Daphnia pulex: one gene and its partner. The protein of the gene in region 1 binds, or shares a complex with, the protein of each later gene. Links are inferred from orthologs where the notes say so. Each region holds a gene or a part of one and is shown in the gene's direction. Other genes may lie near its edges.

What was found.
Region 2: DNA replication complex GINS protein SLD5-like (region 1) and DNA replication licensing factor MCM4-like share a complex: the UniProt entries of both Homo sapiens proteins name them as parts of the CMG helicase complex. The link is inferred for Daphnia pulex from reciprocal best matches to the Homo sapiens genes GINS4 and MCM4.

The regions. Positions count from the first base shown.
Region 1 is NC_060022.1:2,233,848-2,237,282, forward strand, and holds DNA replication complex GINS protein SLD5-like, read left to right. Parts: upstream 1-1,318; 5' UTR 1,319-1,853; coding exon 1,854-1,976; intron 1,977-2,048; coding exon 2,049-2,195; intron 2,196-2,262; coding exon 2,263-2,414; intron 2,415-2,478; coding exon 2,479-2,652; intron 2,653-2,724; coding exon 2,725-2,824; 3' UTR 2,825-2,896; downstream 2,897-3,435. Other genes in the region: tau-tubulin kinase homolog Asator-like, read right to left, coding at 160-275; ras-related protein Rab-4B-like, read left to right, coding at 3,159-3,174, 3,280-3,360. UniProt on the Homo sapiens protein: Required for correct functioning of the GINS complex, a complex that plays an essential role in the initiation of DNA replication, and progression of DNA replication forks.
Region 2 is NC_060020.1:7,895,010-7,898,771, reverse strand, and holds the start of DNA replication licensing factor MCM4-like, read left to right. Parts: upstream 1-955; 5' UTR 956-1,102; coding exon 1,103-1,169; intron 1,170-1,238; coding exon 1,239-1,331; intron 1,332-1,396; coding exon 1,397-1,560; intron 1,561-1,614; coding exon 1,615-1,812; intron 1,813-1,873; coding exon 1,874-2,108; intron 2,109-2,168; coding exon 2,169-2,411; intron 2,412-2,494; coding exon 2,495-2,726; intron 2,727-2,792; coding exon 2,793-3,252; intron 3,253-3,311; coding exon 3,312-3,472; intron 3,473-3,536; coding exon 3,537-3,654; intron 3,655-3,716; coding exon 3,717-3,762. Other genes in the region: uncharacterized protein LOC124192073, read right to left, coding at 1-113. UniProt on the Homo sapiens protein: Acts as a component of the MCM2-7 complex (MCM complex) which is the replicative helicase essential for 'once per cell cycle' DNA replication initiation and elongation in eukaryotic cells.

The DNA.
Region 1 (3,435 bases):
GTAGTTCGCCCTCCAACAAAGCACGTATACACAGACCAGATCGTTGCCTAAATCGATTTTTCTCCAACAAGCTCAAATTGCTCAATCACACGGGACTTTCCTCGAGGAAAAGAAAACCTTATTAGTTAGCCAAAACAAATCTATTTCAGCTTTTCTTACCAGTAGTTTGGCAGAAATCTATAGAACAGTTGAACGCCATATTTGTCGACACATTCGGACTGCGGCTGAGCAGAGCAGACGAAACAAAATTTGTTGGAAGGGGTTGGGTAACGCATAAAATCGATGATGCTAAGCTATCGATATGTAGTCTAAATCGATTTATAATTTCATACGAAATCCGGTCAACGACTTTTTGAGCTGTTTCCGTGAATGGGAACTGACCAAAAGCAATTAAATAAAATATTGAAGATAAAAATTTTGTGATTTACCACTGCATTATCTCCCAGCGCATATCGGCTGCTTGCGGGCGACAAGGAGATTGAATGTAATTCGCCAGCGCGCGCACTCCGGAAATCGACTTTCTTTTTTGTTTTCACCTCTCGATAATAAATGTGTTGTGGTAGCTAGCTGTTGATATTCCCAATAAGAAATCGACGTCGATTCCCCCACACTGTGCGAACTGCGGAACTTTGCTTTTCGAAACGATATGCAGTTTTTATTGCTCGTGGACTAAAAGAAGGAGCTTTAAGTGATCGAGCCAGCTCCGCTAGCCAGATCCTTACAGACTGAACGCCCGCTATGCTTGAGCCGGTCTCTTGAATACGGCCTCGCTAGTTCTTTTTAGTTTTTTCTTGGCGCTCAACACGTCACGACAACCCGAAAAGCTTGTTTTGTTTTCTCCGTCTATACTACTACCCCTTAATTCTCTTACTGTAGCATTTTGTGCTACAGTTGGCGTAAATGAAAACTAGAGTTCCTTATGTGACGGTTTTATTTAGACCCGAGTGCAGCAATTTCAATGATCGTCTGGAAACGGTCCATGTGCAGTTCGTCACTCAACGTCCGCTCTGTTTAGTTAACCACCTGCCGCCAGATACGTAATTATACGTACATATACCTACGGTTTGTACAGCAGACCACGCAAAAGGGATGTCTTTTCTTGTAAATAATAAATACTCGTCGTGCGATCTCTGTACATTTCGTAATCTAATAATAGCACTAGATTGCTTATTTTTACAAGGATGTTGCGTATTCGCGAACACGGATGCCACGTAGGAACAAACCATCTTCTTTCGATTTCGAAATCTTGTCCTCATTTTTAACGTTCTCTCTTTTTTCGCCGTCCAATTCCACCGATAACTGTGATGGAACAGGAGTTGAAGGAAATGCGAAACGCCAACGCAAAAAAATTCAAGTTGAACAAAATGTCGAGTATACCGTGATGGTTTGCCTTACTATTGTTTACCTTGCTCTACCTTAAGGCACTACCGTCCGCCCGGTACAAACTTGGCCAAATCACAACATCTTTTCTTAGAATATAAGATGTAACTAAAAATATACATGGTTTCCGCTCGCTTGCATTTGCATAATGTATTCTTAAAGTCGATGAGCCAGCACTTAACCAAATGGCAGAAACGACTTGTTTTGTTTGTTGTCGATTGACACGCTTAGCTTAAACTGATATATTTTTTCAAAGAGGGCCAGGTTTGCTTTGCAAATGTTTGAAGAACAAACCCGTTTAGAACGGAACAATAATCCAAGGAAAAAATAGAACATTTGAGCTCTGGCTTCATTAGCCGAGTCATGCAACGATGTTTTTGTTTTTGGCGGGAAACGTTGTTTTGTGAGGCCTCTCCTGTCAAATAGCAGTCGGCTTGTGGTAAAATTTCGTTTACGATTGAATAAGAATAATAATGGCTTCCTATTCCGGAAATCTAACGCAACTAAGTGATCTTTTCGGAACAGCGGATACTATATCAGAGACCGAAGACGCCGAATTCTTATCTGCTTCTGAAGCCGTCAAGAAACTCGAAGAGGTTTGGAATGATTAGACGTGCCAAAAATGTCCTGTTTGATGTTGACATTCCTCTGTATTATTGTATGTCAAGAGCTGGCTCAATGAAATGCTCGCCCCAGAATTATTATCTCCACAGACTGAGCTAGTTGACTGTCTTTTAGAGCAGACAAAGAACATGGAAGAGAATCTGATGGCCATTTCTAAATCAGATTTTCGATTTGCTTTGCATCGAATGGAAGTATGAACTACTAAATCAAGATTATGCCCTTCCCCCTTTACTAATATATTTGTAAAACATATGTTAGGTTGAAAGAATACGCTATGTAGTTACATCATACCTAAGAATACGTCTGGAGAAAATAGAAAAATTCCTTGGCTACTTGTTGAACAATGAAAACAAAAGACAACGAAATGAACCAAGTTTGCTTACAGAAGATGAATTAAAATTTGCACAAGAGTATAGTATTACCAGTTATTTTTGTTAAGTTCCTCTAACAACCATATTGTTTGTTTTTTGACAGACTAAACTCCAACACAGAAACCCACCTAAAAACTCTTGGACTCAGACACATGCCTACAAACATGAGAGAAATCAACACCCAAAAATTCATTACAACTCCAAACCGAGATAGCTACGTTTTCGTATGCGTTAAGGATGATGCCCCCTCAGTTCTTGTGAGCGATGGCACTAGCGAGTAAGTGTTTATATTGAATTCAAATAATTTTTTCTTCACATTGTATTCAAAATTCTTATTTGATTTTATCAGGGGTGAAATAGAAGTGGAACTGCTGATGAATTCTCAACATTTACTTCCGTATAGATCAATTTCAAGCTTGTTGCAAAATAATACGGTCAATTTGTTGTAATTTAATTAAAGCTACACTTTTTGTAAAACTTTTATGTAAAATTTCTTCAGGAATACAGGTAAATTTACAAAAAATTAATTTATTTTCTATTGAATACAACATACAAAAGGTGGCGCTAATGACCAAGTTGTTTTTTGAGCCGAGAAAAAACGTCTGCTAACTAACTTGTTAGACTTCATGAACTCATATAGCCAATCACTTTCCTTGCAATCACAAAGCTACATCCTGTTAGTTGATTTCTGGTTTTGACAGTTTCTTACTGATACTTGAGACTGAGACCCTTTACATCGGTTTATTGATAATATAGCCTTTCTCCGTAATTGTATGCCCAAGGATGGCTGAAAATTTCGGTAGTATTTTCTTGTTTACTTGTTGTTCATTAGACAAACGTCAACCCATTTTTTTATTGTTCAAAAATTCACAATGCTAATCAATTCTACTTTTATCTTATTCAGAATTCCTTTTCAAATTTCTTGTCATTGGCAGTGCAGGCACAGGAAAATCCTGCTTATTACACCATTTCATTGAGAAAAAATGTAAGCCATGCTTTTATTTTTTTTTTGTATTGTAAAATTTCAAATGTGTAGATAGTTTGTAGATAGTTACACAAC
Region 2 (3,762 bases), on another chromosome or scaffold:
TGTTGGTATAAAGTGTAAGCAGTGATGACATCGAAAACGACGTCGCAAAAATACGACGCCATCGAAATGATGTTGAACAACACATCACACAAAGGTAGAAATTCTTGAGTCATGATGGCCAAATGAGTTCTCCAATGAAGGGTATTCTGAAAAAAATAAAATAAATATTATTGGTAACTAACTATGATTCTTAAACTATGAATGAACTTCACATATCATATTTAATCACCTCTACATGAAATCTTTACTGCAAACTTCAAAAGTCTTAATAAAAATAAACCAAAATTGCTTAAACCATAAACTAAGAAAACTGTTAACAAGTACTGGACAAGCCAAACAATGGAATAGCACTGCACTACAGCTGTCAGTTGGATGCTTTTACATTGTGTTAATACTCAAAATACAACATTTTTCAGCTGTGACTACTTGTATCAATTTCCTTTGAATCACTTGTTTCAAATTGTATTAGAGATAACTTTGGCTATTTGATCCTTACTTTTCACAGCTCAGGGTAAGAATTTTGATGCACGCACAGGTCACAAACCACGTAGATGACATGAGCAATCGTAGGATCTCTAGGATTCCAGATAATTAGAACTGAATCAAACACAATGAAATTTCACACCATAAATACCTTTTGAGCAATCAATTTAGCTTCAAAGCACTTTATAATTCATTTATATACAAATCACGCTGGGCGTTTTGACGTCTGAGACCTTGGACTCCATGTTGTTTAGGCCCACCTGGCGGCAAATATGTCAATCGTATTATTTTAATCATTTATTGATTTAAAAAGTTGTTAAAATTTATAAATTCTGTTTTTTAAAATGAAAAATTATAATTAAGTGTTTTATATCCGTTCCTATCAAGTGTTGTAGTAAAATTAAAGTAACCGATGTTACCTGGCAACAATTTAGGTACGACTCCTCCTCCTCCAAACATTTTGCCGCGAAGCCTTTCTCTGTTTTCTGTAAGTCTCAAGCGGTCAAGCCCAACTGCCCAAGACCCGTTATCGTTCCGATAGTTCAGATTCGTGTATCAAATATCATTGTCGTGTTATTGTCTTTCTTCAATTTGAATAAGATTTTACCCTTGATGAAAAATGGCAAGTCCAGCAAAAAGTCATGCTAGTAGCCGTACTTCAAGATCTCGACGTCGTTCTGCAGGAGGTAATAAAATTACCTAAATAATTTATGATTATTGAAACCTCGATTTCAAACATTTCACATTGAATCTAGCGATGTCGGATATTTCTGATGTTGCTCCTTTGCCTTCCACTCCATCTCATCATGGTGATAATGATATGGATATTGGAATGAGTCCTGGAGGAGGTATGTGAATATACTTGTATTTTAAAATAGCAACAGGGTCATCTTCAGTTCTGTATTATTTCCAGCTATTAGTGAATTGGATTTAAACTCTCCTCTCAATTATGGAACTCCAAGTTCAATTTCATCTTTGAGAACTCCTCGCTCTGGGGCAAGAGGGACCCCTCTACATCAACGTCCTGATGTTCGTTCTGATAGGAAAGTCCGCCAAGTCAATTTGGGAGCTAATGAAGTATTACTTTTTTAACTAGTTCTTATTGTTTCAATGTGCTAATCCAAATTTTAGCAGGGAAATTTGACCCCAATCAAGGAGCAAGCAGAATCAGGAGGGCCACAGTTGGTCATTTGGGGAACTGATGTGGTTGTGTCTCAATGTAAAACTAAATTCTGTCGCTTCATCAACCAATTTTTGCAAAGTGATGAAGAGGATTTAGGGGAAAACATGAATGTCAATGAACCTTACTACCTTCAAGAACTGCAACAGGTAAGAACTGATTCCTAATCCCACAAAATATTTCTTTATTATTATAAAATCTTTCTTTTAGATTGCTGATTTGGAAGATCCATTCTTGAATCTGAATTGTTCACACTTGAAGGCCTTTGACGCTGACCTTTATCGTCAATTGATCTGCTATCCACAAGAGGTTATCCCGACGTTAGATATGACTGTAAATGAAATGTTTTTTGAGAAATACCCAGATGTCATCCTGCCTCATCAAATTCAAGTCAGGCCCTTTTGTGCCGACAAAACCAAGAACATGCGTGCTCTAAATCCTGAAGGTATTTCTGTTCTACCGGTTCAAGAAAGAAAAAAAACCTATAATATTTTTACCCTTTTAGATATTGATCAGTTAATCACTATTAGTGGTATGGTTATTCGCACGAGCAATATCATTCCTGAAATGCGTGAAGCATTCTTTCGCTGCAATGTATGTAGCAACACGGCTTCTGTTGAAGTTGATCGTGGACGAATTTTGGAACCAACTCTTTGTGCCATGTGCAACACAGGGCATTCCTTTTCCATCATTCACAATAGATCACAATTTTCCGATCGTCAGATGGTTAAACTTCAAGAGTCACCAGGTAGAGATAGATTTGCTGATCACTATTTTGCAATATTTTCAATTTTTTAAAAATATTTAACGGAAATTTTATTGATTAAATAGATGACATGCCAGCAGGTCAGACACCTCACACCGTGTTTGTCTTTGCTCACAATGACTTAGTGGACAAGGTTCAGCCGGGCGATCGCGTTACCGTGACCGGAATTTATCGTGCTGTTTCGTTGCGCGTAAACCCAATTCAAAGCAATGTCAAATCTGTTTATCGTACTCATATTGACGTTGTACATTATCGCAAAATCGATGTCCATCGCCTTCGAAATCAAACCGAACGAGGGTATTTATTTATATATTTTGTGTAACATGTATCTTTTATCGATAATTATTGTTTAATTCATTTTAGGAAAGAAACGCGTTTTTCTGCTGAACGCGAAGCATTACTTCACGAACTTTCCAAGAAACCAGATATTTATGAACGTTTGGCTCGAGCCATCGCTCCATCCATTTACGAGAATGAAGATATCAAAAAAGGAATTCTCCTTCAACTCTTCGGTGGCACCAAAAAAGATTTCACGGAAGTTGGTCGTGGAGGTTTTCGCTCGGAAATAAACATCCTTCTTTGTGGTGATCCTGGTACTAGCAAGTCTCAGTTGCTGCAGTACATCTTTAATTTGGTCCCACGATCACAATATACCTCTGGCAAAGGAAGTTCGGCTGTTGGTCTCACTGCGTATGTGACAAAAGACCCTGAAACCAAGCAGCTTGTCCTTCAAACTGGTGCTCTCGTTCTGGCAGATAATGGTATCTGTTGCATTGACGAATTCGATAAAATGTCCGACGCCACTCGCAGCATTCTTCATGAAGTATAAAGTTCATTCTAGTTATTAGTGGATTCAGCGTTAATTTATATATATTTGTATAGGTAATGGAACAACAAACGTTGAGCATTGCTAAAGCTGGTATCATCTGTCAGCTAAATGCTCGTACATCGATCTTGGCCGGAGCAAATCCAATCGAATCTCAGTGGAACAAAGACAAAACCATCATCGAGAACATTGAACTGCCTCATACATTATTGTCAAGGTAGTACCATTCATCTGGATATACCATTTCATTGTCATCATAAAATTTTATTGGTTAAAACAAGGTTCGACTTGATTTTTTTGATGTTGGATCCTCAAGACGAACTTTATGACAAACGCCTTGCTCGTCATTTAGTTTCTTTGTATTACAGTGTAGCTGAAGAAAATGAAACGGATTTCATGGTATGTTGCCATTTCTTCGATATTTACGATCAAATCTATTATTAAATTTACGCAACCTTTAGGAACTCGATGTCTTACGCGATTATATGGCTTATGGTAAAGAGCATG